Saccharomyces cerevisiae S288C: one gene and its partner. The protein of the gene in region 2 purifies or fractionates together with the protein of the main gene of each other region. This does not show direct contact. Each region holds a gene or a part of one and is shown on either strand. Other genes may lie near its edges.

Region 1 (6,564 bases), on a different chromosome or scaffold from region 2:
CATTTTCATTTTCGTAAAGTTGTTAACTACGCTAAATATTAGTACTTTTCTTAAATTTATATGGGGAGCCCTTTTTTTCTATGAAAAGCAATGCGTAAACCAAATAAGCAGAATTTTGTAATAGATGAGCAACAATACTGAGAAGGTGATAACTATAAATTTATGTGGGTAGTACGATACCAGAATACATTGGAAGATGGCTCTATTAGCTTTATATCATGTTGTCTTCAGGCCTTCAAAACTTATAGTATAGGTAGATCAAGTAAAAACCCACTGATAATTAAAAATGATAAAAGTATTTCCAGACAGCATATCACATTCAAATGGGAAATCAATAATAGTTCGGATCTGAAACACAGTAGCCTGTGTTTAGTTAACAAGGGTAAATTGACATCATTAAATAAAAAATTCATGAAAGTTGGCGAAACATTTACTATTAATGCCTCGGACGTTTTAAAGTCCACAATAATTGAACTGGGTACAACTCCTATTCGTATAGAGTTCGAATGGATAAATGAAGTCTGGAACATTCCTCCTCATTTGACACAATTCAGGACGATGCTTTCTGAATATGGTATCTCCACTGAGATTTCTATTAATGATATTCCCGCTAATCTGATGATTAGCGATTACCCAAAGAGCGAGGACAACAGCATACGGGAATTGTATGCCCTTGTTAGTACTATACCCATGAAAAAATCACGGTTTCTGATGGAATTGTGTAATACTCTTCTTCCCACATCTAAAACTAATTTAAAATTTGATGAAATGTGGAACGATATGATTAGTAATCCGGAGTACAATGTTTTTGATTTTGATCCAAATATTTTGCTTTCGAAGTTTATGAGGCTGAATAATATCAGAGTGTTAACTACTATCAAAAGTGAACCACGTCTATCATCTCTCCTGCGGACGTTCAATATAAATTTATTTGCATTTGACAACATTGATAGTTTATATAAATATGTTGACAGCTTGGAAGCATCAACAGAATACCTGATTTTGACAACTACAGATAAGAAAGAAAATGGGAAAATTCTATGTACTATCAAAACGATGTTAACATCAATAATAGATGGCACCTTAAGCGCAGTGATTAATATGAAGGGTGCATCTTCAAGAACTCTAGATAACGGTAAATTTGATCAAATTTCTGAAGGAATGTCTACTATTTTGAAAACATCTCGTGCACCTGAAGTTGAAGCTAGTCCAGTAGTCTCGAAGAAGCGAAAATTAAATAGACGTAGAGTACTACCACTCGATAGTCTTGATTTTTTTGCTGGAGGTTTGAGTACTAAGACTCTATCAGAAAATAGGTCTTTAACTGACGCTAAGAGACTTAATTGTGGCGCAGAATCAAAGACTGTCATTTCAAGTCCCAACATTGCAGAGGCAGATGAAAAGCACGCCCCATTTCTTCAAAACGCACTAAAGCCGACTGAAGATATTGGAAAGAAAAGTGGTCACAGTAGCCCTGGTGCTATAATTGTCAGTAGCCCCAACTTAGGTACTGTGAACACGAGTGAGGATTCGTTGGATAAGTCGCTACAGTCACATAAGTTACCACAGCCGTCATTGCCGGAGGTAGCAGGGATTGGCTCTCAAACCATATCTTCGAACTCCGCTGACTATGAAACAGCTGCTGTGAATTCGATGGATGATGCTGAAGTTACTAAGAATTTTAGGGTGAATCATCACCAGAATATAGAGCAACCCTCTAAAAACATCCGTAAACTTTCTAATTATTCACGAGAAATTTCATCTCCATTACAAGAAAATTGTAAGTCACCTGTAAAAGAGTTATCTATTAAAGAGAAATCTGGTACGCCGCACGCATTTGTTGAAGCTATTCAAGAAACTAAAAATAGAGAGGTCAAAAGAGTTAAGTCAACCATTGTTGAATTGAAGGATGAGGAGTTGAGCGAGGAAGCTATTAATCAGCTAAAAAATTTGGCTATTGTAGAACCTAGTAACAATTTACTGAGGAAATCATTTGATAGTGAGGGAAACAAAACAAGCAGAACAACTGAAAAATGGGAAAATAGCCTAATGGAGCCAGAATGGCATAAACGCAAGAATTTCAAGACTTTTGTCAAGGTACGTCCAAAATCAAAGGCGCACAAAGAAGAGGGTAAAAATAACACTCAAAGCTCAGATTTTATACGAAATGCAGCCTTTTTAATCACTAGAAATTATGTTCCGTTAAAAAAATACTCCAAAAAGGATACAACTACAAAATGGGGCACAGAAGAAAACGAAGATATGTTTGCTTTGACGGAGATGGAAAGATTTGGATCGAATACATTTATGTCCGATAATATAAACTCAAACACTATCCAGAAAAGATCTCAAGCTCTAAACAGATTCACGAATGAGGATAGTTCAAATGAAGGAGAAGAAGATTCGTTTTCTTTTTCTCGTTGTTCAGGTACTGCAGCCAGCGTTCAACCACTAAAAAACAAAATTTTTATTACTGATGAAGATGATCTGGGTGATATTGATGATAAAAGCGATAGACTAAATCACAGAGAAAATAATCGTAATCTTTTTGTGGTGAAGGAAATGAACTTACGGCCAAACTTGTCAGAAGAATGTTCCAAGCAAAGTAGACACAGTAGAAGCGCAACTAGTAGATCACGTGGCTCTTTTGGGGCTTCTAATAACGGTGATGGCGACGACGACGATGACGACGGTCCGAAGTTTACGTTCAAAAGAAGAAAAGGATAATGATAAATTTTCCGAGTATTTCCAATTTCATTAAATTATATTTTGCATTATCATTCGATATATGTGTATATATTATATGAAAATTAGTAAAATCAATGTTTGTTTCAGCTGTATCGGATCGGTTTAAAGAAGCACTACAGGTTGCTGGAGGCATTAACTGTAATGTAGCGCGCTCATTGGAAAATTGGGAAGGATCCCCACTTCATATCAACGACTCTCTTTGTACCATGCACTTTGGATAGGTTACTAATAGTCTTGAAATCATCCTCAGGCAGAGTGAAAATCTTAAAATTGGATACAATTCTTTCAGGATTAACCGATTTGGCCAGAACAACGTAGCCTCTTTGAATACTCCAACTGATAATAAGCTGTGCTGGCTCAACGCCGTGCTTTTTAGCCATATCAATAATTGCTTGCTCTTTTAGTAAAGGAGCATTAGCACTCCCAAATGGTGAGTAGGCTTCAACAACAATACCCTTTTCCTTACAAAAGGCAATCAATTCGTCTTGTGGTAGCAATGGATGAATTTCAATTTGATTAGTAGCTGGTACCACCTTGTTATTTGGAGATTCTAATAATTCTTTAATGTTGTTAATAGAAAAATTAGAGACACCAACGGCTTTAGTTTTGCCCGTCTTTGGCAACTCTTGCATCAACTCCCACGTCTTGATAAAATTCCATTCCTTAGTATCGATGTCAACAGTGCCATCTTCTAATGTTGGAATGCACAGAACGTTACCATCAGTAACTCTGTCGGTTTTCAAAGGCACTGGCCAATGCATCAGATATAGGTCAACATAATCCAAGCCTAGTCTTTTCAAAGACTTGTTTAGAGCAGCTTCCGGATCACGTTGTTCCGTACCCCAAAGCTTAGTAGTAATAAAAATTTCCTCACGAGGGACTCCGGAATCTTTAATAGCCCTGCCAACTTCTTCTTCATTCAAATAGATAGCCGCAGCATCAATGTGTCTGTATCCAGCTTTCAAAGCTGCAATTACAGAATGGTAACCGTTATTGTCAACGGAACGCCAAGTGCCGAAACCCAACACTGGAATGGAGGCACCAGTATTTAGTTTTAATGTAGCAGAAGAATTCTTTAACGTAGCAGGCATGGTAGATTATTATCTGTGGGTATATTTGCGACCTGATTATATTGCAAAGTTACTTTATTATCACTTTAGAAAAGAAAAGGGTTTCACGGAATTGAATTGCAACCAAATAGGGAATTGCGTGCTATATAGTTTCCTTTTTCCTTTTTTTTCAAAATTACGTAAGAGCTACTTAAATACACACGTGATGAAAAGTGACAATAGCATCAGTGAGAATGATTTTATGATGTCAGAATAGAAACATTTCTTCATCAGTGTAAAACGCTATAACGCTAGGGCTTTATTTTACTATTTACTCTAACAAATTCTTACATAGCTTATAACAACCTTTTTGGCTCTTAGCCCACAGTCTTTTCCAAATAGGCTTGTTTTTCAAGTTTTGTTCTACGTCATCCCTATCAACTAAATATTTGGGGTGGTGTAACAATTCTTGAACAAAAGATGCCAAAATGAAGTTAAAGTAGAACCTGAATATCAATGACACCAACGTAATTAAAATAGTCATGGTATATTCGTAGCTTTCAGTTGCACTTTGTTTACTTATATCAATACCACGTTCTGTCAGCTTACCTGTCGATATTGGGTTACTTTGTAGTGCATTATTTCCATCAATATTAGCAGTGTCTTCCAAGGTGAACCATTGCGTGGTAAACCATAGAGTAAAAAAACAAGTGGAAATGGTATCGATTGTATAAAGTACGCAGATTTGCGAAAATACCAGCAAGTTTGGCTTATGAATCAAATACAGCCCTTGTGAGAATACGATTAATGTAAATACCGACCAAAGATATGCTATCCATTGCATAAAATCCAACGGATGACCCGTGAACAATGCTAAAATACCATAAGCACCACTGCATTTGTTTAGAATGGAAATACCTAAGACAATCTCAACTGCAAGGTATAGCGGCATAAACCCCAAAAAAGACTATGAAAAAAAAATATGTTTGAGAACAGGTTAGTAAAATTGTGCTTTGCTTCGAATCCTTACAAGTTAACAAAAATTTATAGCGTTTGCCGGAAACATACTTTTGGAAGGGTTAGAAGAGATGATCTCATAACTAAGGTTAATGGTTACAATTGGTAGTTCCTCCCTGGTATTATTTCTTTTCTTCGTAGTTTTTGTACAGATCACTTATACAGCTTTACACAGATTTTCCCGCTTGTTGTGCACTTTTTTTTCGAAGATTATTGAAGAGGGATGCGTTTGGTACAATAAAAAACATAGGTTCCCAAACCTATATAAATATATATATGTATATGTATATATACTACATATATGCTTTGAGAAATATGTGAATGTTGAGATAATTGTTGGGATTCCATTGTTGATAAAGGCTATAATATTAGGTATACAGAATATACTAGAAGTTCTCCTCAAGGATTTAGGAATCCATAAAAGGGAATCTGCAATTCTACACAATTCTATAAATATTATTATCATCATTTTATATGTTTATATTCATTGATCCTATTACATTATCAATCCTTGCGTTTCAGCTTCCACTAATTTAGATGACTATTTCTCATCATTTGCGTCATCTTCTAACACCGTATATGATAATATACTAGTAATGTAAATACTAGTTAGTAGATGATAGTTGATTTCTATTCCAACATACCACCCATAATGTAATAGATCTAATGAATCCATTTGTTAGTTAATAGTTTAAATGTTTTTATCGGAAGAGGTTTTGTCATCACATCAGCAATGTTCTTCTTGGTCTCGATGTAGTATACGTATAAATTATTACCTGATACTTCATCTCTAAGTCTCATTGCCTTTGTGCCAAAAAATCTGTTTCTAAATTTCTCTTCATTTGTAGACTTAATTATACTGATCGTTGATCTACTATCAGTAAGTAAGCCTTTAATAATTGGTTTCTTGTTAAGTTCTTGCACAAGGTGACTGAGGTTATTCAATAGCGGTATAGCTTCACTGACTGCGTGTATTTCTGCTTCTGTAGTTGAAGTGCATGTTAACGAAGCCTTTGTCGACTTTCCTCCAATCACTTTTCCGTTGAGTAGGAAAATGTTACCAATTTGTGACTTGTAATATGGTTGGTTACCATATGAAGCATCGCTTATTGCGACTAGTTTATTATCTGGCTTGGTAGGTTTGTTTTTGTGCCATATTAATTGTTTATCTCTAGTGTCCCACATGAATTGTATTAACTCATATGTCATGTCTAAAACTTGCCTAGAGGGGAATAGTATATGTTGAGCAAGTGTGTTGATGTAGTATAGTAAGTCAAATCTAAATTTATATCCAACATATGAAGCTAGACCAATCAACTTTTGCATTTCATGTACCTTCTCTTTGTATTCATCTTCATCTATTTCTAGTTCATCCTGGTCTATATAAAGACCTGGTTGACCTGGAGCGCTAAGTTTTCTTCCTTTTGGATTCAAAGGTACGTTTAATTTGGGTATTTTCTCAGTTAATGAGTTTTCCATACCTAATTTCATGTATTTACCTCTTTGATATTTGATTTCTAAGCCAAGTATGTCATATTGAATTTCCTCATCACTTTCGCCTAGATTTATAATCTTGGTGTCGTATTGCATCTTAAGCTTCTCTATAATTCTTTTGTTTGAATTTAGATTTTTGCTAAACAATACCATATCATCTACGAATAAACAAATTGTCACTTGACTGTTTTTAAATACGCATGACCATCCACGAACTTCTTCCATACCACATTGTTGTATCAGGTATGATTTGATA
Region 2 (8,398 bases):
ACTTAATTGAAATATACAACCCCAAGATAAGATACTTGCTTCATAGTTTAGTTGTAAAATTGAAGTTCAGTACAACATGGCACTAGTATAAAAAAAAGTTTACCAGCCATTACTGCGCACTTACCTACATTAGTCACTCTTAGCGTATATTCTAAATACGCTTAGAGACGTCTCCTTACTATTTTTCATACGTATAACTCTCAAAGGACAGTATAGACATATCCCTGGGGGCTTTTAGAGTGCAGCCTCTGGAGGTCTACACACGTTAATAGTCTCAAAAAATACGCTAATATTTGTTAAATAAGCGAATAGGTCTTCATGTGCGCCTGAATCAGTAGCTGTCTACATGGTAAAGAGTAATTTGTTGACACGAAAATTGATAGTTGGTTAAAAAATATTGCAGATTCAATACTACATGAAAGACTTAATTACAAGATAGACTGATGGTGAAAAAAGAATGTACAGGTTTACCGGCAAACATTTTGAGAAATTAAAGCCCAAAAAATTTTGTGTACCTTATGATTTTCCTCCTCTGTCTAATCCAGTTCCGTATCTGGGTACTGCTGCTTCTTTGTTAAAATCGCAGCATGCTTCCCATTGTTGGGAATTGACTTTGAGCAATATTTAGTTAGTAACTACCATATAGGTGACTGTCGTGTGCCAGCTATAACAGAAATAATCCTTTCACCATGATCATTGTAAACGATCAAAGAAAACTCTGAAGGGACTATAATGCAGTCTTCATGCAGACACTTGAAATATACGACATTAGTAGCTCCCAAGGTAGTAGGCACATCCTGCGTAAATTCTCCACAACCATGTTGTATATATAGCAGCCATAGTATGACCGAGCACATGGGACGTACGAATAAAAGATTTTCTCAGATCCCTGAACTTGAGCGTCAACCATGAATTTCTCTACTTTTTTTTCGAGCAGTAATTACCATTTTAGGTTTGATTACAATCACAGCTTCAGCAGAATTTGATTTCGACGTAGGCTATGAAGAGTTTGTCCGTATCAACCCTGATAAGACCTTCTTAGAAAGTGAGATTGGCCTTTACGTTGGTTGGACCGAGGGTAGTCAACGGCAGATAACAACGATACCACATAATTCCACGTTGGCGGCATCACTACAAGAGTAGAATGGTTGTGGTGGTAATGGCACAGAAACCTCCATCGCTACGTCCACACTTACGATGAGTGGTATACCTATCGCTACGATAATGAAGCACAGAAAAAGTGTACTTATCATATTACCGCAACTATGTACGTGAGGTGTAAATTATGGCTCTCATAGGACATAAGTAGGACAGAAATTGAAATTTTTGTGTTGGCAGAGCGAAAGAAACTTGAATTCGTTTATGAGGAATAAATTCTCAGCTCCATCCATGGTTCCAGTTGACGCTATGATACGCAAATTCCTTTGTGATACAGGTATCATTTCTGCAATTCCTCGTAGATTGTTGATCATACCATAAGATTGATGCTGGGGAAAGTGGAGAAGCTAACTTAACGATTGAGGCCTTGGCAAACCCTGTTAAACCAGTACTATCGGCCTTAACATGCGACTTAGAGAGAGAGAGAGAGAGAGATGTTTGCGTTTGCGTCATGATAGAGATGCTACATCCACATAGTTGTTGTAGACATGTTTAAAGGTACAATTCTGCAACAACGCCTTGAAATTTTCCAAAACTAACCAAGCACATTGGAGTTACGCTTATATAGTAAGCCACTTCACTTGCGTTGCTGTAAAGGTTGATAACTACAGGTAGGAATTAATGAATGTTAAATAAAAAAGGGAAATACCATCATCTCGACAAGAAAGGCAAAATAACTTTTCAATCTCACCAAGACGCGCGAACGAAACTCGTGCGTCTATATTAGTATCTTGACGGCGCTTTTACATCATTAAAGGTGTAATAAAACTGAAGTCATGCGATGGCACTGAAATAATCAAAGTAACTATTTGTGATGGCATGCACTGTGATATGATCTCAAGGAAAAAAATGCAATGTCGGGCGCCAATACTTATGATCATGCTTAGTCTCGACATTGACCTTGCTTGCTACAGTAATCTGGTGTCCGAGTAGTGACATCTAGGTACCGGTGAGAACTATATCTTCATTACTACACTTGTCGCCCCTGAATATTATCGCTACACACGCGAAAGAGCTCTTGTTAAAGTTACTCTCGCATCATTGCGGTACATGTTTTGCATATTCATCTGAAGTAGGAAAGGGTATAAGCAGTATATGATGTACCATCTGCATAAGCGGTGTTTAATGCGTACCTATCGTTTAAGAACAAAAGGAACACACCCACACCCGCTCCAATACCATATTGAGAGAATAATGAGGTAACATATGCTTCTATTTGGTTCGATAAGACGGCTACTAGTCCAAAAAAAGTCAAACAACAATTTCAACAGCTACATTCTGAAGATAGAACGCATTTTTGCCTGAATATTGCAACTCAATAGACATTCTAAAGTGCTACGAGAAAAAAGCTTGTAATGGACCATGGCAATGTGCGCCATATATATATGCGGCTCCCTTATGAGTAGAAGAAAATATATGACTGGTGGTACAAAGTGGCATGGTGGTATATAGATGTAGGAACACCATTTGAGTTTGCCATAATGATTAAATTTCCCTTTTTATAAAGAATTAGCCGCCCATAACACGAAAAATATCACAGTTGACGAAAGAAGACACGTCGCCTAAACGCGTAATGAATCGCAATATACGAAAAGCTAAACGGGTTTTTCAGAATCCTCTTACCCAGCCTTGGATAATAGTTTTGGCCGAAAAAAAAAAAAAGAAAGAAAAAAATTGAAATTTCGCGATCCGAACAAACAATGAACAGAAAAACAGAATATATATAACGCTGCCAAGCCTATTTCTTGTTGCCGATTAATTGTTGACATCCTCTTAATTACCAAAAGAGCCTAAGAAAACAAACACACTAACCACACAGTATCTTTCGCCCGAATGTCTGAATTGAAAACAGGTCATGCAGGCCATAACCCTTGGGCTTCAGTTGCCAATTCCGGTCCGATCTCTATTTTATCCTACTGTGGTTCCTCTATTTTAATGACGGTGACTAACAAGTTCGTCGTCAATTTGAAGGATTTCAACATGAACTTTGTCATGCTTTTCGTGCAATCTTTGGTTTGTACTATAACCTTGATTATCCTACGTATACTGGGCTATGCGAAGTTCCGTTCATTAAACAAAACAGACGCCAAGAACTGGTTCCCTATTTCCTTTTTACTGGTCTTGATGATCTACACCTCTTCGAAGGCTTTACAATACTTGGCTGTTCCAATTTACACCATTTTCAAGAATTTGACTATTATCTTGATTGCTTATGGTGAGGTTCTCTTTTTTGGTGGCTCTGTCACCTCCATGGAATTGTCATCATTTTTGTTGATGGTCCTTTCTTCTGTCGTTGCAACTTGGGGTGACCAGCAAGCTGTGGCTGCCAAGGCTGCTTCATTGGCTGAAGGAGCAGCCGGTGCTGTTGCCTCCTTTAACCCAGGTTATTTCTGGATGTTCACCAACTGTATCACTTCTGCATTATTCGTTCTTATAATGAGAAAGAGAATTAAGTTAACTAACTTCAAGGATTTCGACACTATGTTTTACAACAATGTTTTGGCTCTACCTATTCTATTGCTGTTTTCTTTCTGTGTGGAAGATTGGTCTTCAGTTAATTTGACCAATAACTTTTCTAACGATTCGCTAACTGCTATGATCATCAGTGGTGTTGCATCCGTCGGTATTTCTTACTGTTCCGGTTGGTGTGTTCGTGTTACTTCGTCTACTACATATTCGATGGTAGGGGCTTTGAACAAGCTGCCAATTGCCTTGTCTGGTTTGATTTTCTTTGATGCTCCAAGAAACTTCTTATCTATTCTCTCCATTTTTATTGGTTTCCTATCAGGTATTATTTATGCTGTTGCCAAACAAAAGAAGCAACAAGCCCAACCTTTACGTAAATGAGAACTTACGGGGGGTGCAATTTATTTTTTTTTTTTGGTTTATTTTATTTTATAGAGGCATCTAATGCAAGTAGATTTATATACAATTATACTTAAAATTGATATACCTTAGAACAGGTCGGACACAACGTGTGGTAACTCCAATATATCACTAATGACAATAGCGCCTTCTGGTGTTTGCCCCAAAATTTCATTTACTTCATTCTCAACTAAATGAATACATGTTTTCATGCCCAATTTGATACCTGTCTCGATGTTTTTCCCACTGTCATCTATAAAATAAGCATTCTCGTATCTTGCCAACCCGCTTTCCTTCATGGCTTTTTCAAATGCTTTAACATGTGGTTTGCAGACCAGCGTATCTGTCCTAGAGTAGTCACAATATGTCAATCCATCAAATAAATCCGCTATACCCAACAATCTCAGGCAACGTATTGCGTGGTTTTTATAAGCGTTGGTGAAAAGCCACAATTTATCAATCTTTCCCGATTGTCTCAATCTCAACAGCATATTCCTTAATGGTATATCAGGTTTCAAGATATCTTGTAGTGGTAAGGAATCATCCACAAGCCGGTTATATTCCAGTGCGTTCACTTTGTGGAACATTACAAGTCCCCTTATGGCAAGTCCATACTCTTTGTAGTAAGAGTTATTCAAAACGTGAGCATCTTCAGGTGATAGTTTCAAGTGTGTTTGAAAGAACCTCAGTATAGATTGTTGCATAAGATCGTGAATTCTCGTGGATGATTTATAGAGACAGTTGTCGATATCAAAAAAGAAAACTTTTAAGTTCGGGTTTTGAGGTGTAGCAGAAATATCTTGATCGATCGGAAATGTCACTTTCGAACCTGGATGAGTCAATGATTCAAGATGTGCTTTATTCTTGGCAATTTGTTCGTTCACCTCATTCTGATAGGTTGCCAAATCGGATGCAGTATATTCAACAGTCATGAAGCCTAGTAATGATTCGGTCCAAGAGCTTACTCATGTATTCCGAAATTAATTCAGGTGAAATGGGGGAGTAATATGATATCAAGAAGGCGATCACTTATTGAAGTCCACATAGATACACACAGATAAACATATATATATTATGTATATATATATATATATATATATATATATATATATGTATATATCAACGCCCATACCATTATCATTATCAATAAGTTTGCGAGGCGGGTACCCTCCCTCGTGCTATTATATTACTGTTGCCTTAATTGAGTAATTTGATCGATGACTAATTGCAAGAGATTGTGATTGTTGTACGAAGTTATAAAATCATCCACAACACTCGTTGAGTTTTCCAGTGGTGAAGGTAAGCGGGATGAGATCTGAGTCTTAAACTCTTGCAATTGAGTAATCAATTTATTTCTCAAATCTGTCAGTGTCTCTTGAGGGCATTTATACAATTCTAAGTTTTGTAGGATTTCAATCGTAGGCTGCACCGTTTGATAAATTTGCAACGTGGTATCATTGGTTAAACCTTTTGAATAGAATACCGCTGTATCAATATATTGTTTCAATGCATCATCATCAAGTGGAGATACAGTGCCATCATTGAGGTTCGTATCATTATCATGGAAGATATCTAATTTATGAAGAGTTTCAGGCTCCTTAAGCTTGGCTCTCAAAGTAGAGAGTGTATCCAAATGTGTGTTTATTTCTTTCACGGTTCTCCGAATGAGATGGTCTCTAAAGGTGGACGAATTCACAAAATCGACAACAATCGCGTCCTTATATTGCTGATTGGAGTGATATTGATGATCTTTGCTGTTGGCACTTGATATCAGTAACGCTTGAACGTTATCGTTAAATAGTGTCTCGAATAGGGATTCATTGAATATAGAAAGTAAATCATCGTCCCACTTCGAGGAAAACTCCGTGTTTAGTAAATTGTATAGTTTTACCCACTGTAGTAAAGTTAAGTTTAATGTCTTCATAGAGTCCACCAAGAACTTCTGTAGTCGACAACATTTGTCCTTGACAAGCGCTTCAAATTTGGAAGGAACTGGTATCAAAGATAATTCGTGGAAATTCAACAGTAGCTCGTCGAATATCCGCGACGGAGTAGTGGAAGTAACTATACGATTACAGAAGTTGTTGATGGAGATGGTCCAATTTGAAATTACTAAAATGTTTTGCGATGGTATGCTGACTTTTTCTTCGTCACGAGGTGGTGATATATGGGTAGTGGTTTGGTATGGTAGTGGAGTTAACTTATTCAACTGAAATTTTTCATCATTGAAACACAGGGATTTAAAATCTTGATCAACATTTTTCAAATTGAGCGACAAGTCATTAACAGAATCGGTCAAGCTTAAGATCTTGTTATAGTTCTTTAGCAAATTCTTTTGGAAGGCCTCATTGGTTTTAGTCAAATCGTTCTGTAACTCCAATTGATAATCTTTAATCTGTGGAATATGAGAATCGCGAAACAATGGTAAGACTTCATCCATTTTCTATCGTATTGGTTTTTTTTAGGTTTTCTACCACAAGATTTGTTGTACGAATGTGTTATTTATTATTCACCGCCATGTTTCATTTTTCTTCAGCATAATGATGAACTGTAACAGAAAATAGGAAAAAAAAATTGTCATCTGAGAAATTGCTTTGGATGACCAGATCCAAAACAGACATAAGCATTCGTATAATTGGTACATAGGTATATATCAAATAAAAATATGCATTATTCTAAAAAAAAAAAAAAAAAAAAAAAAAAAAAAATCAAAAATGTCTCTCTAAAGGGTGATTATAAAAAACTTGGTTTGGGCAAGTTTTTAGCCTCCCTTGGACCATTAGTGGCGAAAGTGGAGCCTGCATAAGAGTGACTGAGTTTTTTGGCACTGCCATTACAACCCATTGGTATTATCCCTTGAGAGCCATGCGGGGATTGTTTCTGGTTCAGAAGCAGATTCTTTAGGTTCTGACTCAGTAAACGAGTATCATCTTTGTTGTTCTGTCGTGGCGTTTCTTTATTATTCTGTCTGTTTTTTTTACCTAAAGTAGTTGTAGAGGAAGGGGAAGAAGGTGGAGAGTGCTTCTTTTGATTAAATGATGGTTTCTTGTTGGAAGAATGGCCGAAGTTAGGTTTCTGACCGTTAGGAAGAGTTTGAGGAGGTGGTATATCTGTGATATAGTTGTTATTATTGGCGTTCTTAGCAGCATTTCCCCTCGCACGATTATTTCTAGTTTTTTGTTTGATTAGATTATTTGTCTTGTTCCTGCCAGCCGATGGCAACAGCCTGGAGCTGTTGAAATACATGGTATCCGTCGACATGCCTTGTAATATTTGTGTGAGTATATTTGTGTGCTAAGTGTAATTACGTTACGCTTTGCTGAGTACTTCGTCTTCAATACAGAGTATGTTATTGTCCTTGTTATTTGAAGACTTTTACCTTTTCTATCCGTATTTCTCTATCCGATACAACAACATCATTTTACACGAACAGCCGGATGATAAAACTGTAGTACGTATGGTATTTGTGATATCCTATATAGCCATATAATTACTAGCAGCTATGCAACAGTCAAAGGATCGCAATCCATTTTGCTTACGACTACTTCGTGGCCCTCATCTTGCAACAAGCCCTTCATAACGTCTTGAAGGAATCCACGCTCAGTATTTGAGTGGTTGCAAACAATAACGGTCTTGCCCATTTCTTTCCACTTCAGTACTTCATGATGTGACATTTCTCCCGTATAGTAAAGGTCTACGTCCTCTTTTAGTTGCTTAAACACGCCAGAACCGCTCCCGGCACAGACAGCGACTTTTTTGATTTTGAGTTGATTCCATGCGGATGGAGCAGCAAGAGATGCTACTTGTACATAGGGAACCCGTAAAACACGCTTGACATTTTTGACAATTTGCTCCAAAGAGATGTCTTTATTGAATTCTACGAATCTACCGTAGCCAATCAAGTCGTCAGTTTCGCCACTTACAGTTTCCAAGGCATAAGACTTTGCGACGTTCTCTCCGTTGTTCAAACCCCTAACCAACCAGTCATTTACACCGCCACGAGCGGCATCTACGGCAGTGTGAGGGCAGTATACGGATATTCCGTACTGGATTAGCTTTATAGCTGTCTCGTGTTGTGGGTTTGTATGTGGGCTTAATCTGTTCCAGCTTGGGAAAATAAAAGGATGGTAAGCAACAATTACGTTGCAGTTAGCATCCACAGCTTCTTGAGCAACTGACTTCGTGAGGTCTACAGTCAAAAGGACCTTTGTTTTAGCGTTTGCATCGGCAGTGGTGACTTGTGCAGTGGAACAATCGATGAGAAGACCCGTATTGTCCCAGCTCTTGTCTGCGTACTTTTGAGGGTAGAACTTGGTAATGCTACGCACAAGTTTGTCCAATTGTGCTCTAGTAATAGCTCTGCTCATTGCGTTTC

The links.
Region 1: the proteins of VRG4 (region 2) and KEI1 purify together in Saccharomyces cerevisiae (affinity purification with mass spectrometry, with the first as the bait; one large-scale study listed by BioGRID). This does not show direct contact.

What each region holds. Positions count from the first base shown.
Region 1 is NC_001136.10:1,211,179-1,217,742, reverse strand, and holds KEI1 (Kei1p), read right to left. Parts: upstream 4,896-6,564; coding exon 4,866-4,895; intron 4,765-4,865; coding exon 4,129-4,764; downstream 1-4,128. Other genes in the region: XRS2 (Xrs2p), read left to right, coding at 163-2,727; trifunctional aldehyde reductase/carbonyl reductase (NADPH)/glucose 1-dehydrogenase (NADP(+)) YPR1, read right to left, coding at 2,901-3,839; MOR1 (Mor1p), read left to right, coding at 4,907-5,305. UniProt on the Saccharomyces cerevisiae protein: Regulatory component of the inositol phosphorylceramide (ICP) synthase which catalyzes the addition of a phosphorylinositol group onto ceramide to form inositol phosphorylceramide, an essential step in sphingolipid biosynthesis.
Region 2 is NC_001139.9:73,903-82,300, forward strand, and holds VRG4 (GDP-mannose transporter), read left to right. Parts: upstream 1-2,991; coding exon 2,992-4,005; downstream 4,006-8,398. Other genes in the region: SDT1 (nucleotidase), read right to left, coding at 4,113-4,955; Golgi transport complex subunit COG1, read right to left, coding at 5,210-6,463; EDC1 (Edc1p), read right to left, coding at 6,757-7,284; NIF3 (uncharacterized protein), read right to left, coding at 7,524-8,390. UniProt on the Saccharomyces cerevisiae protein: Involved in the import of GDP-mannose from the cytoplasm into the Golgi lumen. Defective copy causes severe glycosylation defect and abnormal retention of soluble endoplasmic reticulum proteins. Involved in vanadate sensitivity.